Caenorhabditis elegans: one gene and its partners. The protein of the gene in region 1 interacts with the protein of each later gene in a pairwise test. Each region holds a gene or a part of one and is shown on either strand. Other genes may lie near its edges.

Evidence for each region. The genes of interacting proteins can lie anywhere in the genome.
Region 2: the proteins of sek-1 (region 1) and gln-3 interact in a two-hybrid assay, tested with the Caenorhabditis elegans proteins (one large-scale study listed by BioGRID).
Region 3: the proteins of sek-1 (region 1) and snt-4 interact in a two-hybrid assay, tested with the Caenorhabditis elegans proteins (one large-scale study listed by BioGRID).

The regions. Positions count from the first base shown.
Region 1 is NC_003284.9:7,813,510-7,822,361, forward strand, and holds sek-1 (Dual specificity mitogen-activated protein kinase kinase sek-1), read left to right. Parts: upstream 1-3,224; 5' UTR 3,225-3,294; coding exon 3,295-3,307; intron 3,308-3,366; coding exon 3,367-3,457; intron 3,458-3,564; coding exon 3,565-3,697; intron 3,698-4,816; coding exon 4,817-5,200; intron 5,201-5,351; coding exon 5,352-5,602; intron 5,603-5,664; coding exon 5,665-5,776; intron 5,777-6,527; coding exon 6,528-6,554; 3' UTR 6,555-7,527; downstream 7,528-8,852. UniProt on the Caenorhabditis elegans protein: Dual specificity protein kinase which acts as an essential component of the p38 signal transduction pathway which is also composed of upstream effector nsy-1 and downstream effector pmk-1. May phosphorylate pmk-1.
Region 2 is NC_003282.8:16,167,281-16,173,578, reverse strand, and holds gln-3 (Glutamine synthetase), read left to right. Parts: upstream 1-2,900; coding exon 2,901-2,907; intron 2,908-2,957; coding exon 2,958-3,131; intron 3,132-3,148; exon of another isoform or gene 3,149-3,169; intron 3,170-3,344; coding exon 3,345-3,506; intron 3,507-4,449; coding exon 4,450-4,924; intron 4,925-5,333; coding exon 5,334-5,682; 3' UTR 5,683-5,798; downstream 5,799-6,298.
Region 3 is NC_003279.8:6,433,106-6,441,692, reverse strand, and holds snt-4 (C2 domain-containing protein), read right to left. Parts: upstream 5,648-8,587; 5' UTR 5,543-5,647; coding exon 5,500-5,542; intron 3,791-5,499; coding exon 3,672-3,790; intron 3,124-3,671; coding exon 2,980-3,123; intron 2,792-2,979; coding exon 2,492-2,791; intron 2,450-2,491; coding exon 2,355-2,449; intron 2,061-2,354; coding exon 1,906-2,060; intron 1,794-1,905; coding exon 1,636-1,793; intron 928-1,635; coding exon 796-927; 3' UTR 501-795; downstream 1-500.

The sequences.
Region 1 (8,852 bases):
CAAATGTTTTGTAAATTATCAATTTACCAAATTTTGGGTTTAAAGTTTTCAAAAATCTAAAAGCTCATTTTATACTTTCTAACCTTTACCAACATTTTAGGTTGAGTCCCTATGTTTATTTGAAATAACATTTAAGGAACTTGTGTTCTTCTTCAAGTTTCTTGAAACCAGTGTACGACTAGAATAATTCGCATTTTTTAGTTGCATTTTAAATGAGTAGTGTTGCTAGCTTTTTAAAACTTAATATATAGTTGTGAAGCGTATTCTACTTTAATCATTTATTGTTTTTTTTAAATTTTTATTTTTTTTTTTATTGAACCTTTATTTGATTGTTCCCTAAGCATTCCTAGAAAAGTGGAAATTTGATTTTTGAACATTGTACTTAAACAAAAAAGCAAGAAGCTCTCATTAATGATAGGTGCGCAAACGCACTCCAACCTAATCCGCGACATAATTTTCCCCCATGTACATATATCACGTTCTCTCACAATAAACCTCTGACAGGCCTAACCAATGTCTAGAAAAATGTGTTTTTTCTTCAGTTTATTTTATGGCCATGTTGTTGCAAGCATTGCATTTTATTTTACTTGCTAAAAAAATTTGACCAATGTTTCTGAACTGTAAGTTCAAGAAATTGAAGAAAGTTTATGCACCCGAAAAATTACTAAGTCTTCTCCCAAAGCGTTCTTTCATGTTTTTCAAGCATCTAAGACAAGCTGACGAAAGCAATGATGTTTTCGAATCTAACGGCTTCTTGGTTATTCAATTATTAGTCGGATAACTTTATTCAATTCATTTTGTGGTGTGAGCTATTTAGCTTTCAGCTTGCAGCTTTTGGTGTTTTCTCCAAGTAATAGTTCGAAGCCCGGTATTTTTTTAAATAGAAAATTTACAGAGATGCTAACTCCCACTTCTACTAACCTTTTTTTTAAGTTGAAAGCTCAATGCGTTTACCTTTTTATCTGAGATGATTAATATTTTAATTTTATTTGAACCAGTATTATTAGACGAAGATATATTTTTCAATTACTTATTTGATTTTTTCTCTTCAGACAGTTTATATTTTCTAAACCTTTTTGGTTTTTTATAAACATGAGCTTTTAACTTTGTTGAAGCTTGAGAAACTTTTAATTTTTCATGAAATATAACTTATTTTATGTTTCAACGTCTCGAATATCTTTCCCCTCTTTTAAATACTTTTACTTTTTTCTCGTTTTGCATATGACTCATCTACTTGCTGGAATGCAAAAAAGTATGATGAACAATTTTTAGGGTGAGGTTAGTAGAATACAAGTACTGCAGACACAATATACAATACCTTTCCACAAATGGAAGATTGTGTCTGTGTGTATGAGATGAAATAGATAGAGAGAGAAAGAGAGAAAGAGAGAGTGGCGAGTGTAGAAAGTAACATTTAACAGAAAACGGCATTGAAAGATAGAGAGAGAGAGATGCAGAGAGGCAAAGTGATAGAGAGATGGAGGAATAGTGGTGTCCTGCGTAACTTTTGTCGTCGTTTCTTATCACTTGTTTACGTGCACAGTGCCCCCCCCCCCCCCCCCCCCCCGATGATCAACATTTTTTTGTGAACAGACAACAACATTTTGAAAGGTGATTTCAACGAATTATCTTGTTGAGAGCAAACGGGTCTGAAGCATATTCGTGGCTTAGCAATCTTATCAATTAATTGGTTTTCTTCCAAAAAATTGAGTAAATTGTATAGTTCTATAAGGTTTTTGTAACTGAACACTATAACTTAAAAGAATAACTAAAAATGTACATGCGTCCCGAAATACTTACAAAAATATTTGCGAACCCACACCGTCTAAATGATTCAACAAAAAAAGTTTCGCAATATTATACTATCAGGCAATTTTTGTAAAATCTGACCATTACACATACGGGATTTCCTGAAATGTGTGGTCTTGCGAATTTCGCAACTTTTCATGACAAAAATGTGTTTGGTCACAAAAACGGTTTCTCGACACTTTTTCCGAAAAAAACGTTTGCACTTTTTCACTATTTTTAAATCTATGTTCTGCTTAATTTCATTTCCACTTTTCTCTTAAAACATTTGACAAAAACTATAAGTTCTGACTCCCAATACTTTTTTCGTCGTATTTCCCTTCCGTTAACTCACTCACTGCTCTAGTTCTCAATAACAATAAATCAAGCGCTCAGTTTTTTTCGAGTTTTTATGGGCCCTTTTTGGGGGAAATGAAGGATAAAACGATAAAAACTGCAAAAGTATACTAAAAATAGTAAATTGAAGTTTAAAAAATTTAATATTCCGAAAATTGAAAAAAAAAACCCCATGTTATATGAGTTACTTGCCGCCCACCCACGGAAATTATTTATTTCTGCGTTAGTCATGCAACTAGTAAGAAGATCCCGCGGAACCATGAGTTTTTCTTTGTGATATTTCCAAATTCAGTATCTCCAATTAAATGATTCACACTTCGTTTTCTCCCTGCTTTATAAATGACTCAGCTATTCATGGCAGCTCCATCTTGCTCCTCCTCCCCAGCTTCCATGTTGCACTTGTTCACATCACATCCCATAAAAATTCATGCACCCGCTCCAAGGTTACTATTGGTTCCCAGTGACAACACCAACAAAAACGGATTTCGGTTCTCGTTTTGGTCTGGCACCTTGATTTCAATTTGAATTTTTACGACAACACATCCCGGGCAACGGTTTTTCGCTTTGTTTTCACATTAATTTTTTCTCACTGGGATGAAAATGGGGGCCCCTCTTTTTTCCCTTTTTCTATTTTTCTGCTTCCTACTCACCAAATTGCTTCTGCTCTCTTCTCATTCTTCTATCTTTTCCTCACTTTTTTCCTATTCCTATTTTTCTTATTTCTTCTATTTTTCAACGATCTATTCCGCGTTTTTCTACAGAATTTCGTACTCTCATTCATCAAATCTGAGAACCCTCCGCCAGGAGAAAAAAAGAAGGAAAAAACGTGATTCCCAAATCTTTAATTAAAGGACCAGATTGATGGATAAGTAACGAAAGACCAACACTATCTATTTTACATTTAGATTCGAAAAAAGATTGAATGACACCTCTAAATTTTGTTCACAAAACCGCGAAACCACCATTTGTATTCTTTATTGTCATTTTTCCTCATTTTTCGCTTTGTGAAAAATTTACCCACCGTATTTTTTGCTGAAATCCGTGTCTCTTGCTCTTTCCTTATCCTCATTTAATTTTTGCAGACGATCGCTGGTCGGCGAATTCTACAATTTATGTAGATCGGTGCGGAACGTCTCTCTAGAGTCTTACATCATGGAGCGAAAAGGTAAGAAAAATCTCATTTACCTCAAATTTGCCAAAGCATCTAATTTCGACTTGTTGTAGGACGTGAGCGCAAGCTGCCGGGCATGAAGATCGTGATGCCAACACCGGTCGAGACGCCCACAATGAATCTGGAAGACAGATGTCTTATCAAGTAAGTATTAGGTGATACCCGTGTCGGGTTTGATATTGAACACGTAAAGACGGCGCGGCGAATTATGTAATAATAATATAAGTATGAGAAATTTTTGATTGATGCAGATTGACAAACGAGTCCGAAGAGATTGAGATTGCCGCCACCGACCTCGTCGTACTCGAAGAACTTGGAAAAGGTGGATATGGGATTGTGGAGAAAATGCAGCACAGGCAGAGCGGGATAATTATGGCGGTAAAAGTGAGTATCACAACAAGAACAGTTTGAAAAAATTAACTATGTACATATGTTTGGTAATTCACCAAAAGCGGTTTTTTCAAAAAAATGTTTCATTTTTTCGTAACTTTTCAAAAAGTAACTAAATTCAAATTCCTATTTGGCTGGTGCACTAATAAATAGGCAATTTGTATAAATTTAAGATATTCATAAAATACTTTTCTTTAATTAGGGAAAAACTATTCTAATTTGAATGCAACGTGTCATTTTTCACATACAATAGTTATTCAAAAGCAAATGCAAGTTAGCAAGATGAAGATTATTGAATTTAGGTGTGACTGCAAAAATAATAGTTAGTCTTCATTGCCAACGGAAAGCATTTCCATTTTTTGAAGGGCGCCGTGTGAGACGACACACTGATTGCCTTTTGGCTGTCGGCACACGCGCCCACACGTCACCTTTGAAAAGTTGGTGTATAAATTAAAATTTTCGTGAACAAAGGTAAATTATGGAAGTGAAGAAATGAGAATTTGAGGATAGGATTTCAAACGCAGGTCACTCGTTTCTGATATGATGAAAAAAATCTTTTTTTTTTTGAAAAGGAACATGAGAAATAGATTCAAAGTAGCTTGATATCAAACATTTATGGAATGTATTGAGATTTATCAATACTTACTGATTTCAAAAATTCATTTTCATCCATACACTAGAATAAGTGACTAGGTGATTGTACATCAATATGTATGTTAATAGGACATACCAACAATAAGAACAGTCTGTGACGCGGAAATTTTCCATAAAAAAGGTCACTTCATAGATTTCATATGTTGAACTTTCACTAGAACATATTGCAAATACTTCATATGTAGTTGTGGCAAAGTTCAAGATTAAAGTAAATACAACATGTAAATGGAAAACTGATCTGACCAAAAAATGTTTTCAAATCACGAATATTTAAATTCTCAATATAAAAATTAATCGAAACTACAGATTTAAATACTAAAAAAAAATTATAAATTAAATATTACTGGTTTGAACCGAGACTTAAGCAAATCGCGTATTGAAAAAAATAAAAAATGAATTTTCAAACTAAATCGAATTTATCTTTTAAATTGATCCTAAGCAAATTTCATTTTCTTACAGCGAATCAAATCATCAATCAACGATCAATCTCAAAAGCAGATGCTCAACGAGCTAGACGCGTGCAGGAGAAGTGATTGCTGTCCGCAAATGGTACGGTTCTATGGAGCAATGTTTCGCGAAGGTGATGTCTGGATTTGCATGGAAGTGATGGACACGTCGCTGGACAAATTTTACCGGCACGCATACAAAATTGGCAAACACATTCCAGAGCCGTTTATTGGGAAAATGGCTCTGTCGGTCATTGAAGGACTCAACTTTATGAAAGAGCAACTGAATTTGATTCATCGAGACGTGAAACCGTCGAACATTCTGTTAAATCGACATGGACAAGTCAAGATTTGCGATTTTGGAATTTCAGGTCACTTGACAAACAGCATGGCCAAGGTACGGAAAATCGATAAAAATGAGACCTCTATTAAAAAAATGAAATGCAATTTTATTTGCCGAATGATGTCATGCCAATCAGAGTTATCTTTCAATTTCATCATGACCGGGAAGAAAAATTTCAAAATATATATAGTGTTTCGATTTACAGACTGTACAAGCCGGATGCAAACCTTACATGCCACCAGAGAGAATTGATGGAGAGACTAAGTCAGCCTATGATGTGAGAGCTGATGTATGGAGTTTGGGTATAACAATAATTGAAATCGCCGTTGGCACCCATCCCTACGCAAATTGGAAAACCCCATTTGAACAATTGAAACAGGTTGTGAAAGAGCCGCCACCAAAATTGCCGATGGAAAGTGGTTTTAGTGTTGATTGTCAGTACTTTGTCAAGAGATGGTGAGTTTTTTGGAGTTTCTGGGTGTGGAGTTGGGAAGAGTATGAAAATTTGCAAATTGCAGTCTTGAAAAGGATTACAATGAACGTCCCAAATATCCGGAATTATTGGCGATGCCGTTTATGGAGCAGGCAAGAAATGAGAAGCAATTTAGTATGGCTCGGTTTATCAATGAGGTAAGATTTGCTGCTATCAAAAAGACAATTTTTTTGCTGAAAAATTGAGAAAAACAATCTGTAAATAAATGGGTAAAATTAAATTAAATGTTTATTAATTTCTCCATTTAAATGAAACGTGAAATTGATTTTTAATTTTTAGGCTTAAAAATTGTTGTCTAAGTATAATTGTCCTCCTAAGCCTTAAAATACAAAAGAGTTTTATTTTCTATGTCTAAAAATTCAAGTTTAGCGTTAAAATTTTTGGACGATAGCTTTTAGTGAAAATCGGTATTTTGTTACAAAACACTTTATTGTAGAAACTAAACACTTTAAAATAAATTGAAAATTGGTGAATGATGTCAATTTTGTGAAGTGTGCTTAAATTGCTTTAAGAAATAACAAAAATGCAAAATAAGTGCAATAAAAAAACAATCAAAAAGTCAGGTTATTTCTGAGAAATTTCGAAGAGTAAAAAATGTTGTCAAAAAATCAGTTCGGTACATCAGCAAAGAAAAGTATAGATCAACTTCAAAACATCACCAAAACTTAGCATGTACAGTTTGTTTCCAGCAGGACCAACTTACAGTAAAAGCACCACTGAATGTTATTTTTTATAATTTTTTGTATTTTAATCTGAAAATCGTTTTATATCTGACAATCTTGAATCTTACTAAGGTCCGATGGGCACCTTCTGACGGTTCCCTAGTTAGGTAAAAACTATGCTAGATTTGCGAAAAATTGCAAAAACTTCTGAATTCATTCATTGCAGATTCTCGACACTGTTTGGCGACGATGAGCATCGGGTGTGCCGAATGGCGAACAAGTCTTTTTCTAGTACGACACGTCTCAAATTGAGAATAGCGTTTTTTTGTACGCCTCGCTGGCCGTCAATGGAACATCGATATTTGTTGAATAATCAGCAACGTGGACGGAATAAATTATCACTTCTTTTCCCTTTTTGTCAAATATTGAATTTTATGTTCTTATGTTTTGTTTATATCATATATCTCTCAGATTCCAATTATTTCTTTGCTTCTGGTAACCGTTTCTTTCCGAGTCAACCGCTTATCCTTATTTCATTTTCAATTTTATAGGAAATCTTTCTCTATCGCTTCTTTTTTCGTGTCTTCTCCTCGTAGTTATAATCAATCATCGGTGTTTTTCTACATTTTTTTTACGTTTAAATGTTCAAGTAGTTTATTAGCATCTGTGATTTTTATTTTCAAATGGTAGCTCATAATTTTCCAATCAAACTCGAAATGACCTAGTTGTTTTCTTAAATGATTTTAGTAGTCATTCCTATCTCATCTCATCAGACTTCTCATTTCAATTGTTTAACTTCTTCCTCTGCATATACAGTGCCATTTTCGATGTCAAATTCGTATTCAACATGGATTATTCTACTCTAGAAATCAAAAATGTATTCTATTGCACCCCTCCTCCCGCATTTGTTTCATCTGTGGGTTAATAATGATATTTATAAATTGATGTGCTGTTACAAAAACGAAAACAATCAACATCACTTATCCTTCTTTCTATTTTTCTTCTTCTCTGGTCTTATGCGCTTATTCTCCTTATAACAGTTCTTGCCCAGAAAATCAGCGTACACGTTTCATTTTCTTTTCTGTTCGTTTTCTCCCCTAACTCAGACATTACAAATTTCTAAACGTTTTGTTTTCAATTACACCAACCATCCCCCACTTTTCTCCCTCACCCCATATCAAGGATATGAGTCTCTTTTGGTTTATATTGCTCGAGTAAAGATTTTTTTTTAATTCAGATAACGGTTAAATATCGTGAATTGATGTTGCAATGTCTTCCTGTTTCAGAGCTATGTAAAAACTGACGCCAGTGATAAAATAATGTGGCAACCAGAGGAAGGAAAAATATAAGAATGTGAAAAAGCAAGTTTAGTTCAAATTTTTCAATAGTAAATCACACTACGACTTGATTGGGATAGTTGGTTTTGGTTGCTTTTCAAGATATTTATAAAAACGTTTTTTAAATTTTCCAATATATAAATAGAGAACGAGTGAATATCATTTTCCTTGTTTGAATTGCCATAATTGATAAATTGAAAATATCTGGAAAATAATATAAACAAAAAAGACCAAGAAATATAAATGTTTTGTTTCATTAAGGCACATCATGTACGGACTTCTATTTTACTATTATTTCTATCGTTTTCACCGGAGTTTGCTAAAGTTGCAAAATTCTTAAAAACAACTGATGCTTGTTTCAGAATTGCAACCGACACAACCGACAGCAAAGTTGCCAAAGCTTTCCCAATCATCAAGCATACATTTTTGTTGAACATAAACCTTGGAGTGTTTTCGTGAAACTTTGTTAGAAAAATTTTTTCATTAGAAGTGAAATGCTACTAACTTTCTGGATTGTTGACGCCGGGTTTGCCAGAGCTATCAAATATAAAATTACGAGTGTGGTCACAGATGTCGAGCCACAAGATTCCCGGTGGTTGAGTATGAGCAGCCACAATACGTTTTTATATATATGATGTAACTTTTTGAAACATGTTGAAACTTTTTGAATTTCAATAATAACAATTTTCTTTCTAAATATTGCAATTGACGTTGCAAAAAGTTTTCACTACATGAAGTGAGCAGTACCATTATAAAAACAATAAATTTTCTTGAATCGGTACATGAAATTTTCAGTTTTGAGGATTTGAAAAATATGTAAATACGAAATATGAAGAATACATAAACCACAGAAACATGATCAATTATCAAAACACGGATTTCATTAATTAAAACAGTAAATCAAGAATTCTTACTTAATCATATTTTAACAGCATTATAATTGTATTTCTCACGAAAGGAAAGCTACAGCAGGAGGGAAAAAACAGTAAATTTGATTAAGTTGGGGAAAACCTATTTCTAAACCGTTCTGGTTCTTAAGGAAGTGGTATTGTCTGTGCGTTTTTCGCCTTAATGACAAAAAATTTCAATATGGCATATAAATTTTATATGATTTTCTCAATTTTGCAAAAAAAAATTCGATAAGGCAGAATTACTTCCAATATCCCGCGCAAATGAATGACCTTGTTTTGACATTTTTTTTTTCGTTTTCCGGC
Region 2 (6,298 bases), on another chromosome or scaffold:
AGTTTGTTTTGAATATGAAGAATTTATTTTCAGAACGTTTTTATTTGATTGATAATTTTTTTTTTGAAAAAAAAATCTGGTTTCAAAATTCTAATAATAAAATGGCACATTATTGAAAATTTCAATACGTTCTCTAACTTGAAATCCAAAAAATCTATATTTTCCCATACTTCCCATTCCAAATCAAAAGTTGATCTCTCCCCCATCATACCCCCGGCTCCGCCCATTTCCTCCCATCATCAAATATATTTGTGTGTCATTGAAACTTCTTATAGTGGGCGGAGTCATTTCGGCTCCACCCACATTTTTCCGTTATATAAAAGTGTGCGACGGCGAGACACAAACATCACCGTTTTCTCTTGTTTTTATAGGTTTTCGTGGCCGATAAATGTTCAATGATTAGTTGAGTGTAGGCCAAATATTGAGTATAGGCTTAGGCTTAGTCTTAGGCATAGGCCTGAGCCTAGGCTTAGTCTTAAACTTAGGCTTAGGCCTAGGCTTAGGCTTTGACTTTGACTTAGGCCTAGGCTTAGGCCTAGGCTTAGGCCTAGGCTTAGGCCTAGGCTTAGGCCTAGGCGTAGGCCTAGGCTTAGGCTTAAGCTTAGATTTAGGCTTGGGCTTAAGCTTAGATTTAGGCTTGGGCTTAAGCTTAAGCTTAGGTTCAAGCTTAGGCCTATACTAGGCTTAGACTGAGGCTTAGGCTTTGGCTTTGGCTTGGGTTTTGATTTAGACTTTGACTTAGGCTTTGACTTAGGTTTTGCCTTTAGGATTAGGCTTAGGTAAAGGTTTAGGCTTAGGCTAAGGGTTAGGCTTAAGCTTGGATGATCGGTTTTTTGTAGTGTTTCTAATCTTCACAAAATATGTGTCCATTATTCTCTATAAAAAAAATCAACTGAATAATAACAATATTTTTAGATTGGAACATTTTTTATGATTTTTCAATTCCCAAACGAGTTTTAAAGTGAGGTGTATATTGGGATTTTTAACTTTTTTTTTCTGATTTTGCTTTCCCATATTACTTATTTATATAACGTAAGCGAAAAAAGGATTAAAAAAAAGGATTAAAGGACGATCCGTTCTTCAAGTGCAATGCACTGCGGATCTGGGATTCAGGTACACTGCCCTCTGGGCTGTAATTTAAGCCACGTCCTAGCCGGGGACTGTGGCCGATAATCCAGTCGTGGATTGCTCCACTTCCCAATAGAGGCTGGGTGAACCTAGGGGGTGAGGCCGGACTTGAACTCGTGACCTCCAGACTGCTAGCGGCCACCACTACCGACTGAGCTATCTGCCCCCATCAGGATAAATTATAGACAGTAAGAAACAGTGAAATTTATTTTCAAAAAAACATTCTTATTTCAAAAAATATTTCAATCATTGTATCACTTCCCCAACTTTCAAATCTTTTATTTTTTCTATAACGTAAGCGAAAAAAATCAGGATAAATTATAGACAGTAAGAAACAGTGAAATTTATTTTCAAAAAAACATTCTTATTTCAAAAAATATTTCAATCATTGTATCACTTCCCCAACTTTCAAATCTTTTATTTTTTCTATAACGTAAGCGAAAAAAATCAGGATAAATTATAGACAGTAAGAAACAGTGAAATTTATTTTCAAAAAAACATTCTTATTTCAAAAAATATTTCAATCATTGTATCACTTCCCCAACTTTCAAATCTTTTATTTTTTCTATAACGTAAGCGAAAAAAATCAGGATAAATTATAGACAGTAAGAAACAGTGAAATTTATTTTCAAAAAAACATTCTTATTTCAAAAAATATTTCAATCATTGTATCACTTCCCCAACTTTCAAATCTTTTATTTTTTCTATAACGTAAGCGAAAAAAATCAGGATAAATTATAGACAGTAAGAAACAGTGAAATTTATTTTCAAAAAAACATTCTTATTTCAAAAATATTTCAATCATTGTATCACTTCCCCAACTTTCAAATCTTTTATTTTTTCTTTCATAGGTTCAATGTTCTTTTTTATCACTAAAGATTGAGAGTTGATAAGAAAATTCGTGGAATCACGTGAAAAACGCATGTGTCTCTCGTTTTTCAAATAAAGTGACCCCTCTGTTACAACGTAAGATTGGGTGTCCGTGCTACTCTGTGCACAAAGTGCAGATGGGCAGTCGGGCGGTGTAAGAAATATAGAATCTACAGATCTTTGAGAAAACTGACCAAAACGGCTATGTATTGAAAATAAAAGTTTTCTTTTTTTTTAAATTAATATTTTGAAACAGAAAAAAATTTTCAATGAAAATTCGAATTTATTTTTGAGTTTTTATGCTAAAAACTTGCAATTCTTGGAAGAATTCAATTTATTTTAAAATGTTATAGATAGAAACTGCAAATACTTTTCTTAAAGTTTACTAGAAGAAATGGAACGTTTGAAACAGCAAAAATTTGGAAAAAAAATGAAATTTGGTAAATGAAATTTAAAATTTTTTATATTTTTAAAAATCATAATTTCCCAGAAAAAAACCTTTACCGGACCAAAAATCAAACGCTATGCAAATTGGCGGGACCAAGTCCAAAGACCAAATGCACGTATGCATACACATATCTTATCTCCCCCGTTTTCTCTCTGCGTCTCTCCATTCTGAACACTCTCGTGTCTCTCCCACTATTATTGTCTTCCCATGTCATCGAAATCAACATAAATCTAGGTTTATCTAGAACCACGTGACCCAACGCCCCGCCCCGCCCATCAGTCTCAAAGAACTTTCACTCTGCTTTCCAAGACACTCACTTCGTATACACTTGCCTTATCACCGAGTACTCTGCCCCCCGCCTAAGCTCTCCTTTTTGTCACTATAAATATCATATCAATTTATTATAAAACAGTGTACACTAGTGTTTCTACCATCCATTCCTACTCTCCCAGACATGTCGCGTATGATTTTCAACGCTTTTTTCGCATTTTTCAACACCTTCTAATTACAGAAATGGCTCAATCACTCCGCAGTCAATTCGCCACCGACAAGCAGGTCCTGCAAAAGTTCCTGAACTTGGACCAAAAGGGCATGTACCAGGCCCTCTACATTTGGATTGACGGATCCGGCGAGAACATTCGTGCCAAGACCAGAACCTTCGATTTTGAGCCAACTGACCCAGAGAGTGAGTTTTGTTTTTTTGCAGAAATTCCAGAACATCTAGTTTAGATGCTTCTAGTTTAGTTTAGTTTAGATGTCATTGAAACGGCAATTGTTAAAAGTATGAATTTTCAATTAAGATTTTCGGATTCCACGTAGCAACTTTAACAAAATATTTCAAATTTTCGATGCAAGCCCCATATCTTGCTACCTTACAACAATTCCCTCCGATTTCCAGAGCTCCCAATTTGGAACTTTGACGGATCATCCACCGGTCAAGCCGAGGGAGCCGACTCCGACGTCTACCTGAAGCCAGTCGCCATCTACCCAGACCCATTTAGGCAGGGAAAGAACAAGTTGGTGATGTGCGAGACCTATGACAACAAGAAGAAGCCAACCGGTGAGTATTTGGAAGTTCGATGGTGACACCGAGAGAAGAGATAGGTAGAGATAAACGACGAAGGCGAGAGAGAGAGAGAGAGAGAGAGAGTGGGGGTCCAAGTGTCAGGTGGTCAGTGCCGCGTAGTCCTTGATTAACAATTGATTAGAACCAGTTATGGTATATTTTTCATAATGTGTGCTTTGATGCCTCCTAGATTAGACTACACATCCATCTTTGCCCCCCGTCTGCTAATCGGACGCCCTCGGAGGCTCATCTGTTGGGTCAACAGTGATGTACTATGTACAGAGGGATGGGGTGGTTGACCACGAGTTGATAAGACGGGCGGTTGATAAGTGAACTTATGAACTGGCCAAAGTTCCTTTTCAAGACGCAAAACAATGAGGGGCAGGATAGCTAGTGGTGGCCGCTAGCCATCTGGAGGTCACGAATTCAAGTTCGGCCCAGCCTCTATTGGGAAGTGGAGCAATCCACGACTGCATAATCGGCCATAGTCCCCGCCTAGGACGTGGTTTAAGTTATAGCCCAGTGGGAGCACTAAGTGTACCTGACTTCTAGATCCGCAGTACATACACTCAAAAAAATAAAACTGCGTGGTGTGTATTGCAGAAAACCTAATATTTAGGCTCCGCCTTTTTATCGTCCACCCACGGGGAAAAGGCGAAATTCGGGACCCAACCAATATCAGGCCGCCGACATCTCACGGACTCCGCGCGCCGCTATGTTTAACTCGCAGCGGGCGGAGACAGCTTGCCACGCCCACAACGAGTTAAACGCAGCGGCGCGCGGAACTCGTCAGATGTCGGCGGCCTAATATTGGTTTGGTCCCGAGTTTTGCCTTTTCCCCGTGAGGGGACGGTAAAAATGTGGGGCCGTTTATTATTTTGAGTGTAGCACAACGGATCGTCCTTTAATCCTTTTTTCTAAACTGTGAATATTCCAGCCACCAACTACCGCCAGCGATGCAAGGAGGTGATGGAGAAGGCCGCCGACCAGCACCCATGGTTCGGAATGGAGCAGGAGTACACCCTTCTCGACATTGACGGACATCCATTCGGATGGCCAAAGAACGGATTCCCAGGACCACAAGGACCATACTACTGTGGCGTCGGCGCCAACAAGGTCTACGGTCGCGACATCGTCGAGGCTCACTACCGCGCATGCCTCTACGCCGGAATCCAGATCTCGGGAACCAACGCCGAAGTGATGCCCGGACAATGGGAGTTCCAGGTCGGGCCATGCGAAGGAATCCAGATGGGAGATCAGTTGTGGGTGGCTCGCTACTTGCTGCAACGTGTCGCCGAGGAGTTTGGCGTGATCGCCTCGTTCGATTGTAAGCCGATCAAGGGAGACTGGAACGGAGCCGGATGTCACACCAACTTCTCCACTGATAAGATGAGAAATCCAGGAGGAATTGAGTGAGTTTTTAGGGCATCAAAAATCTGATTCGTGAGATAGTTGCCTAGTGCTTGAACATTTTCCGAGGAGTAGGTTTTCACGGCGGCCGACATTTTCTGAGTTTTGCCACTCACTATACTTAATCATAAATGTTACAATGAGTGACTAAACTAGTAAATTGTCGGCCGCCGTGAAAACCGGACTACGGACGCCCGATATGCCAGCCCTAGTGCTGAGGAACCTTGATGGATAACAATCCTTTTATGGCCTAAAATTTCTTGGGGGCTTTTGGTCTAGAAAATTCAAGTTTTGGGCCTAGCTTGTTCTTCAGGCCATACACACCGCGGGCTTCTATTAAAATTCGGCTTAGAAAAATCTTACCTAGTTTTCGAAAAACTATGACGTCATACTTACTATTTAATTTTTCAGCGAGATCATGTCCGCCATCAACAAGCTCTCCCTTGTCCACCCACAACACATTGCCTACTACGATCCACACGGTGGAAAAGACAACGAGCGTCGTTTGACCGGACTCCACGAGACCGCATCGATCGACAAGTTCTCCTACGGAGTCGCATCCCGTGCCTCATCCATTCGTATTCCACGCTCCACCGACGATGATGGATACGGATACTTCGAAGATCGCCGTCCATCATCCAACTGTGACCCGTACACCGTCACCGGAGCCCTCGTCAGAACTGTGTGTCTTGAGGGAGCCGAGCGTAAACTGTCGATGATGTATGTTCCAAGCCAGGCACCAAATATTACCAAGCATTAGAGTTCGGATAGTTTGAGTGTGATGATTCTTTTTTTTTTTGAATACTTATTAATCTTTTGTAAAGAACATTTACATTTTAATTGTACAAATAAAAGTTTCAAAATTTCAAAAAAAAATCTGATGAACCTATATCCGTATTTAAACAGGATATTAATTAAATTTAAAAAAATACCACAAAGCAATATCTTGTAATGTTGAAACAGTAAATCACATTTTTCAACTAAATTTTTGAAAATAGAATCCCACGTGGATCGACAAATTGAAATTAAAGGAGAGGCTGAGAAGAATATGCAAGTAGTGAAACATGATGAAAAAATTAACATGGAAGTTCGAAATTCTCAGTGTGATTCAATTCAAACTTCATATTACGTGTTTATCCACAGATCAGAAAAATCGCCATATCTGCCGCGCAAATGAACCCGCGGGAAGAGACAAAACTACTGTAGTTTTTAACCAATTTGTGTAGATTTACGAGCTATTGCGTCATCGTTGAATTTAATCAATTTTTAATTTTCAGGCGTTTTTCTAATTTTTTTGTGTTTTCTTTTAAGATTTATTCAAAAATTGATAAATTTCAATATAAAAATGTGTGAAACCCCTGAAAATTAAAAATTGC
Region 3 (8,587 bases), on another chromosome or scaffold:
TCGTATTTTTTCTTCTTTTATAAAATAGTATTGATTTAAATGAATGTGTGGTTCTTTCGTGATATCTTCTATTATGTCAGAACAATTAAAGAAAAATAAGTAAATGAGCGATTTAGTGAATGTGTGTTACCTGGGAATTTTCGATATATAACATTGCTTTTGTATTTTTTAAGGAATCGTAGGTAAAATATTGTAACCGTTTATACAAATGCATTTCTACATGATCATAATATTTGAACTTCCCCCTAATTGAAAACTGCAAGATCAATCAATGATTAGCTCCGCCCCTGGTAAAGTTCGAATACGCTGATTGGTTATAAAGAGGACGTGGCTTGTCATTTTGGAGGAATTTCAAACATGAAAAAATTCAATTGAGAAGAGATTTCAATTTTAAAATTGATATTTCTGAATTTCAAAATATTTTGGGTACTTGAAGAACCGTAAAGAAAAATCCCCAATCACAAGTTCTAGAGTATTCAAGAAGAAAAAAACCATAAAATAACAGAATTGGAACGGATCTTTATTCCATCGAAAAATAAAAAAAGAATTTGAAATTAAAAATGATGTTAATTGCCTGTTTCAGATGTCAACGTGTCTGTGAGAGAGAGAGAATTCATGTTAAAATGTTAAAATGAATATAATTATCTGACAAAACATGATGGGAGAGAGAATACAAAATTTCAGTTGTGGACGGAGAGAGTGATGACTGTTATTTAATGGAAAAGTATGGGGGATTAGGTTCGAAAACCAGTAGAGGTCTACAGAAATAAAAGCAAAAAAAAAGGTTTAAATTTTTTAATCGAGATGATGCCACTGAGCAACTTGTCTTCCTGGATTCTCAAGAACTTCGACAACGTGAGAATCTTCCATATTAAGAAGGGCACGGCCAATTACATCATTACGGTTAACACGGTCATGATTGATCACCTGGAAGCATATAATAATATTGTAGATATTGTAATCATATTAACGGCGCTCGAAATCCCTTTCCCTTTGGGTCTCGGCTTGATAAGTATGTATATTTTAGAATTTTTGATTATTTGGGTATTCGAAAGTTTATCCGTTTTTATATGCAACAAGAATAGTATATAACCCACATGTGGAATTTAGCGATATATCACCAAAAGAATACAGTACCCGGTCTTGACACGACCGAATATGAGTGTGTTTCTTAATGAGTACAGTAATTTCCACGCCTCGCTATCGCGAAAATTAACGATTTTTTTCCTTTTTTCTTCTAAAAATATGTTTTATTTAGCCAAGTACTGAATGTGAGAAAAAATTATGAACAAAATATAGATAAACGAAAAAAGAAAAAAAAGACGAAAGGAACTGCGAGTCGTGGAAACTACTGTACTTTTTAAGGGGAAACATTTATTTTAATTTAAAAATATAAAGTCGTGTCAAGACCAGGTGACGCATTTTTTTAGTCATAAATCACAAAATTTAAACTCTCAGTGTTATAAGGCGTGTTTGCAGTCCTCTGTGAGTTTCTGTGGTGCTACCATAAGCTGTTCCTCGCGGTGAGACTATTCAAATATATATGTGCAGCTTAAAGTACGTTTTTCAGAAGGAAAGTTGCGAAGGTTTGATACTTTGTCGTATTCTTCATAATTTTTCCCTTTTCTCACTAACCTGCAAGTCAATAACAGAATGTTCCAATCTATCATCTGGAAGTTCAAAGACAAACGATTCGTTGTAGACAGGATTCAAAGTAGACCTTCTCACATGTGTTCTCTTTTTAACGATACGTTCTCCACTTTCCTTGCGCAAGTATAACTTGACAAATGGATCTGGAAAAATGTTCTATTTTTAAACATTTTCTAGATCACTGCAGTCATTCATTGAGGATCATGAGATTGTTCATGCGAGAAATCAACAAAAAAAGGAATCAAGAGTCTATACCTGCAGTTCCGGCATCGTTTCGTCCTCCGAGTCCACGGGCTTTGAGAACAACAACTGTCAAATTGTTGAATGCAGCTTGATATGTCAATGAGAGAAGAAGCTCTCCACGAGCAGCTACAGTATCAGTGGCACGTGGGAGGAGAGGGAGTTCAACTCTGGAGAATTTTAAATTAGCATCAAATGTCTTTTGTTAATAAAAAATTTAAAGAATAGTTTTTAAAATGATAAAAAACGATAAAGCAATATAAGATAATTCTGTTTTGGTATAAAAACAATGTGACCGAGTTTTCAAACGTGTGACGTCACCCGGAGCCTCTTAATTTGACATGCGGGTGTTTAAAATATTTTTTGTCTAATTTGTTCTACATTTCGATCTTCTCCCTTTTTCTCTAGAAAAACATAGCATATAAATATTTGAAGTCTGTAAAGTCTGTAAAACAAAATAATACCTCATCTCATTGTGAACTTGAAGTTCTGCATCAGCCAATCTGTAGACACATTCTCCAACGACAGTGTCTCGGGAGTAACGATCGAATGCGACGACCTGAAAATCCTTTCATGTTTTCAAAAACCCTTTGCTCTCTACCTGGAAGTGCAACGTGGCAAAGTTAACTTGCTCGTGAGTGACTCCATACATTGCAAATTGCTCCTCATAAACTGGGCTGGTGGTTGAACGAACGATACGCGTCTTGACACGATGCTCACGTTCGGGAAGTAGTTGTAACTTGACATATGGATCAAGGAGACATTGTCCGTCACGAGAAACTACCATCTCACAGAGATTTCGGCAGTTTATGATACTGACAAGAAGGGTTAGAGTGTGAGAGTCATAGCTCAATGTGAACGAGATGTTTCCACGTTCGGATGGAAGCTCTGATGGGGATAGCTGAAACGAATAATTGAGCAACTATAGTTATTTTTAATTGGATTTGCCAGAGCCCGGAATTAGGCTGTTAGCCTCGGCCTTCAAGTTTGGCTTTTAGGTGTAGGCTCTCACAATTGGGGTTTCATAATTAGATACTCCTATTTTAGAAAATATAAATATGTTGCCTACGCCATTATTTTACGACTTACTTTTCTGGTTCGATCCTCCAAAAGATTCTGCAATGGAACGACTGGCGATGGCGTGGAGTCATTAGAAAGCGGCGATTGAAGAGGAGATGGGCTCTGCTTTAGGCCTCCAGGGCCCTTGGGAAATCCACCACGGACAGCAATCACCTAGAAAAATGTATGTAGTCCTTGGTCTATAATGTGTTTTGGTTGTAATTATTCATGGTCATATCTTTATTTTTCTCTTACTAATGAAATTTAAGAAACGAAATGAGACTCGTTCTTTTCTTTTTTTCTCTATTTTTTCCATTTTTTCTTTGCTGTGGACAAACAGAATGTGACGTTGTTCGTTCAAAGAAACATTAGAAATATTCAAAAATAGAAATTGATCCCTGGATTTTGGTAATCTAAAGAGAAACGGAAACCGATAAAGTGCAAGAAATATGGAGAACAAGAGAGGAATTGAAAAGTGTACGTGTACTCTGAGGAGTTCTGAATGTGACTAATCATCAATTTTTAATGAAATTCAGACAGACACGTAACCTCCTGAAAACTAGAACAGATGAAACCCCACTGAAAATAAGAAAATGACATTAGAATCCTAGGGATCAAAAATTATTAAATTTGAAAAGGTCAAAAAATAAATTTGTCGACTGAGTTCAAGAGTTCACTATATAAAAAATTGAGATTATTTCAGCTATAATTCAAACTATTACCTGTCTCGGGGGAAGAAGAAGTGACGGATATTGACGACGTTTACGAACTGCGAGAAGAGCGGCAACGGCTACAAGAGCCGCGAGACCGACGGCTCCACCAACTCCGAGATAGAACCATTCTGTAAATTATTTAATTTTTTTTTAAATCATAATTCAGTGGTTTTAGTTTGATTTTTTCAATTAGGACAGAAGGCATCACGATGGTAGAGTTGGCAAGAGTTAAAAATATTGAAAATGAGCTCTGATCGGCTATGCTCACCAAGAAACATGCAAGTTTCAGAGAAAAACTTCCAGATCTCTGAGCTCTAAGTATCTATTTTCTCATAAGCTTGAGAATCCTTTAAATCCTCAATTAAGCCTCATTTCACATGCCGCTCCCTCTCACACATAAAGCTGCTGCTTCCTCGTTTTTTCACTTAATCATTTAGCTGCTTCTCGGAATAATTCGAAAAGCTCGAGGGCTCACGGAAATGACAACAAAAACAGAGAAAGGGAGGATAACAAGGAATTTCCTGGTTTTCGAGAAAATCTAATTAGAATATTCTGAACTTTTTCATAACATTCTAAGATTGAAAATCAAATCAGAAGGGAATTCAAAGTTTACTTCGCCTACGCTAAGCTTCTCCATTGAATCTAGCTTGGTTAATCTTGTCTGAGAAAGTCCACGACTTTAAGATGATCAACAAAATGACGTCATAATCTTGTTAGTAAACATGATTTCTGAACAGAAGTTTAACATATTTTGCAAAATGTTTACTTTATTCAAGAAATCGCCGAGAAGATTTGAAATTTCAAAGGGTTTCGAAAACAATAATATGTTTCAAAATGAGTAACTTTTTGTTAATTTTTGGACAAAGTTAGCAGTACTGATGTCATTGGTGCTAAAAATGGAGAACAAGTTTACAACTTTTTTAAAAGAGGTGACGTCAAATCTCTGAAGCCCGAGAGCTTCCACTGAACTTTTATATATTCACAAGAGCCCATCATAAAAAGGTGTCGAATTACCAAAAGCACAATTCGGGAAATTGGCACGCTCAAAGAATGTGTAAACAATAGAGTCATTTTCGAAAATTGAATATTAGACGTGGTGTATTAGTTGATTGATTCCAAGAATATTGAGTCAGAATTCGTCAGAACCGATTTTCAGCCAGACACTGAAGCCAAGTCGCACTTTTGATGAGATAGACATAAGTTTTTGAAAAACTGGCAAGTTGTACTTAGTTATACCGAATGCCTAGGCATAAGCTTATGAATAGTTTGAGTCTAGAAACATTTCTAGATATACTGTTACGAGCCAGGGGTGTGCGGATAACCGATTTTTTTCAAACGGATAAATCGGCTAATCGGCTAATGCCGATTTTTTGAGAACCGGCTAACGGCTAATTCGGCTAACGGCTAATTTCAAAATTTTCGGCTAACGGCTAATTCGGCTAATCTCAGTCATTCAAATCGGCTAATTCGGCTAATCTCAGTCATTCAAATCGGCTAATTCGGCTAAATCGGCTATTATCCGCACACCCCTGTTACGAGTCAGAAGAGAAAACGCATTTAGGTTCACATCCAGATCGAGTCGCCTCTCACCATCTACGCGCTTTCTGTGGAACTTCTGAATTACACTGTAGGGTTCACGTCAAAATACAGTACCTTAATTGTAAGCAGGCGCGCGGGATCGCACTGCTAATTGAACATAAAACAGAAAAGTGAAATTATTTACCAATTTCTTCCCCCATTAACACGTAAATTACGATCATTCTGGGAACATTCACTCAAAATTATTGAATCATTCATATTCAATTAAAATTTAAGAAATAAAAATATTGAAACTAACCATGTCCCGCGCTCTTCGCCAACCCCTCCTGATAGTGGGGCATGTGACGAGAGGACGTCGATCGGTCGGCTGAAGAAGACGACGACCGGGCAAAAAGTGAGTGAGCTTGCTCCGTGGGAGCTCTGAGCCAGCCAAAAAGAAAGAAGAAGATGAAGAAAAGAGAACGACGAGAAAAGGGAAAGAGACGGAAAAATAGGAAGAGAGAAGAGAAGGGGGAGGAGTCAGATGGGGTGGATGGAATAGAAGACGTTGTGTGTCAGCTGGGATGAAAGAAGTGAGGGAGAGAAAAAAGGGGAAAAACGATGACGAATAAGTTTGGAGCACTTGTTGCTCTCTCATTCTCCTTCAAGCCAAAAAAGCCGCGACGCGAGCCGCCTCGCGCCAGACAACGTCACAAAGTGCGATGGCGAAGGAATGAAGCAGAAGGAGGTGTGAAAAAAGAGGGCGAGATGAGATTAGAGAGACGATGGAATTGAGAAAAAGATGAAAACGAAGAAGATTGAAGGGAAAAGTAATTGGAAAAGATATGTGTGCATGACTACGGTAGCATTGATTTATGACCCGCTTTTCTGTTGTTTCCCGTGACTTCACTTTATCGTCAGACTGAGTAAGTCTATGGTTGTTATGACATAAAAAGGTAAATATTCTAAAATATGATGAATCAGGTAATAATGGGAGAATAAGAATCAGAATTGAAATGAAAACATAGCCAGACTGATCAACTTTTAAAAATACAAAATAAATGGAGCAGTAACATCTAAATTTTCAAAGTAATTAGGTTATAGTCAATGAAACTCAGGTAGGCCTTTTTTTAATGGCACAAAAAACATAAAACTCGGTTGAGAATTTATCTTAAATTTTTTACGGTCGATATTTTAGATACGGCGGGAAAAGTTGGGAGAAGCTCGAATGAGCTTAGTGTCGGTAATAAGAGATTTCCCTTTTCCATTAATTTTTCATTGACAACTCTAATAAGTTCCCAATCCAAGAAATAAATCTGAGTTGATCCACTCATTAATCCCTTTCGCAAGAAGATTACATCGGATAAAGTTCAGATAAAGAATTGGTTTCCAGAAAGAAAATGCCAGGATTTTCTTTCTTTAATGTCATTTTTCTAAGAGACTTTTGCACCTGGTTCAAATTGTCTAAGACATTTAGAAATTGTACGTGCTCAAAGATGAAGCTCGCTCCAGGTTTGAAATTTCAAAAATTTTCCTGGGTAACAATGACTAGAGAAAATGTTGATTATTTTTGACGTTGGCAAGGTAATGAAGTCTGTAGTTCGAAAACATTGTATGTTTCTGGTAATGGCTAAAAATAATGCATAACATGTAAGGGAAACCTCAGAAATCATGTCTTTCGTGGTTTGCGCAGCTATCCATCCATTCGTCTAAAAAATGCTCATTGATGTATAATTTGTCTCGAAATTCTCGATTTTGTCTCAAGAAAGTCTAAAGTCCACATATTTTGCAAACCGAGCACACATTCATAACCCGTCATAAGTTTATAATCCGATCATATGACTTCATGGTCATAATTGTCAGTATCCTTCTATATCTCTCGTGCTTTCCAACTTATAGAAGGAAATAGAGATACTTTCATGGGAACAGGAGAAAGAAGAGAAAATGAGGATGAGATTGAATTCAATGGGAAAATAGGATTTGGGTGTAAGTAAAAGGAAATTTAAAAAGGAGTTAATAAAACTTAAAAGGAAGATTTATGGTAAGCTGTTCGATTATGATGACACCTTTTAAATATTTATAGATGGGTTCGGAGTTTCACTTAGATTTTTGGTGTCATAGATTTGGAAGATTACAAAATTTACGAAACTTTAGGTTTCATTTTTCTTAACATTTGCCAATGTTATTTGCTCATTTTATAGAAGTAGTTTTTCCCAACTGGGACTACTTGCAAATCATTCCAAAAACCAAGAAATGGTTGGAACCTATGTTTTGAATTTTCATATGATGTGCCATTCCTAGATTTTTCTTAAATTGGTTTATCAGCTTAACTCGCTTAGAAATTAAACCACAAATTTCAATTTTTGCAGTTCTCTCATTTAAATAGTATCTGTTCTCTCTTGCAGACTCATTTTAATTTGAATTTTGTGTTCCAAACGGAGTGCTCATAAAACTATCGGACCTCCGTTTTTTATATGTGACATCTGACTGCTTTTTAGAACATGCATTTGAGTGAATAATTCATCAAATATTCCTCAAACTAGGAGATGAAATGGGCAAAAGAAAAAGATGCGAAAAAGGGTAGTCGGACAATTAAGTTTAAGAACGAAATATGTTTTATTTAAAATCTTATGTTTAGGTTATCACAAAAATTCAAGCGACACATTTAGATATTTCGCACTCGCTCCCAATGACTTAAAATTGCAAACTTTTGATTAATTTTATAGTGTTGTGAACATTTTGAAAGCTTTTTGGAAAAGTTAAAAAATGGTTTTTTTTAAATACTTTACATTTTTTCAAATAAGCTGAAAATCTCCAGAATGTTTACCAACATTCTTCAAAATTGTAAAAGATCTAAATAAAACCGCATCTGGATAAGTTTTACAAACTTCGAAATTGGATAACACACTGAAATAAATACATATAAAATGTTTAATGTTTTTTTTTTCATTTTTCTTAAATGTATGGGATAACCTAATCAAGCCCATACACTGGTTTCTGAATTAATAAAGTCTTCCCAGATAGGATCATATTAAAGATAAAATTATTTTCAAATTAACAATAAAAATAATTGCTCAAACTTTAGCTTTGCATTTTACAGAGACGTGACGTAGGCACAAGGTATTTAGCGGGAACGAGGAGGGCGAATAAAGAGGCGGCCTTGATTGGACCATGTCATCTGCTCAGTTACCATAAAAGTCATACCATAAAATTGTAGATTTACACATTTAACTTGTGTTATTGGCACTTGCACATCCTAGACGAAATTTGCTATGTGTGTTATTTGAGAAAATACTTTTTTTTTTGGAAAACTAAAAACATCTTGATCAAAGTTTACAAATCATAAATTAGAAGTGATTAAATATTATCAAATGCTCTTGGAAACCAACTTGGAAACAATAACAAAA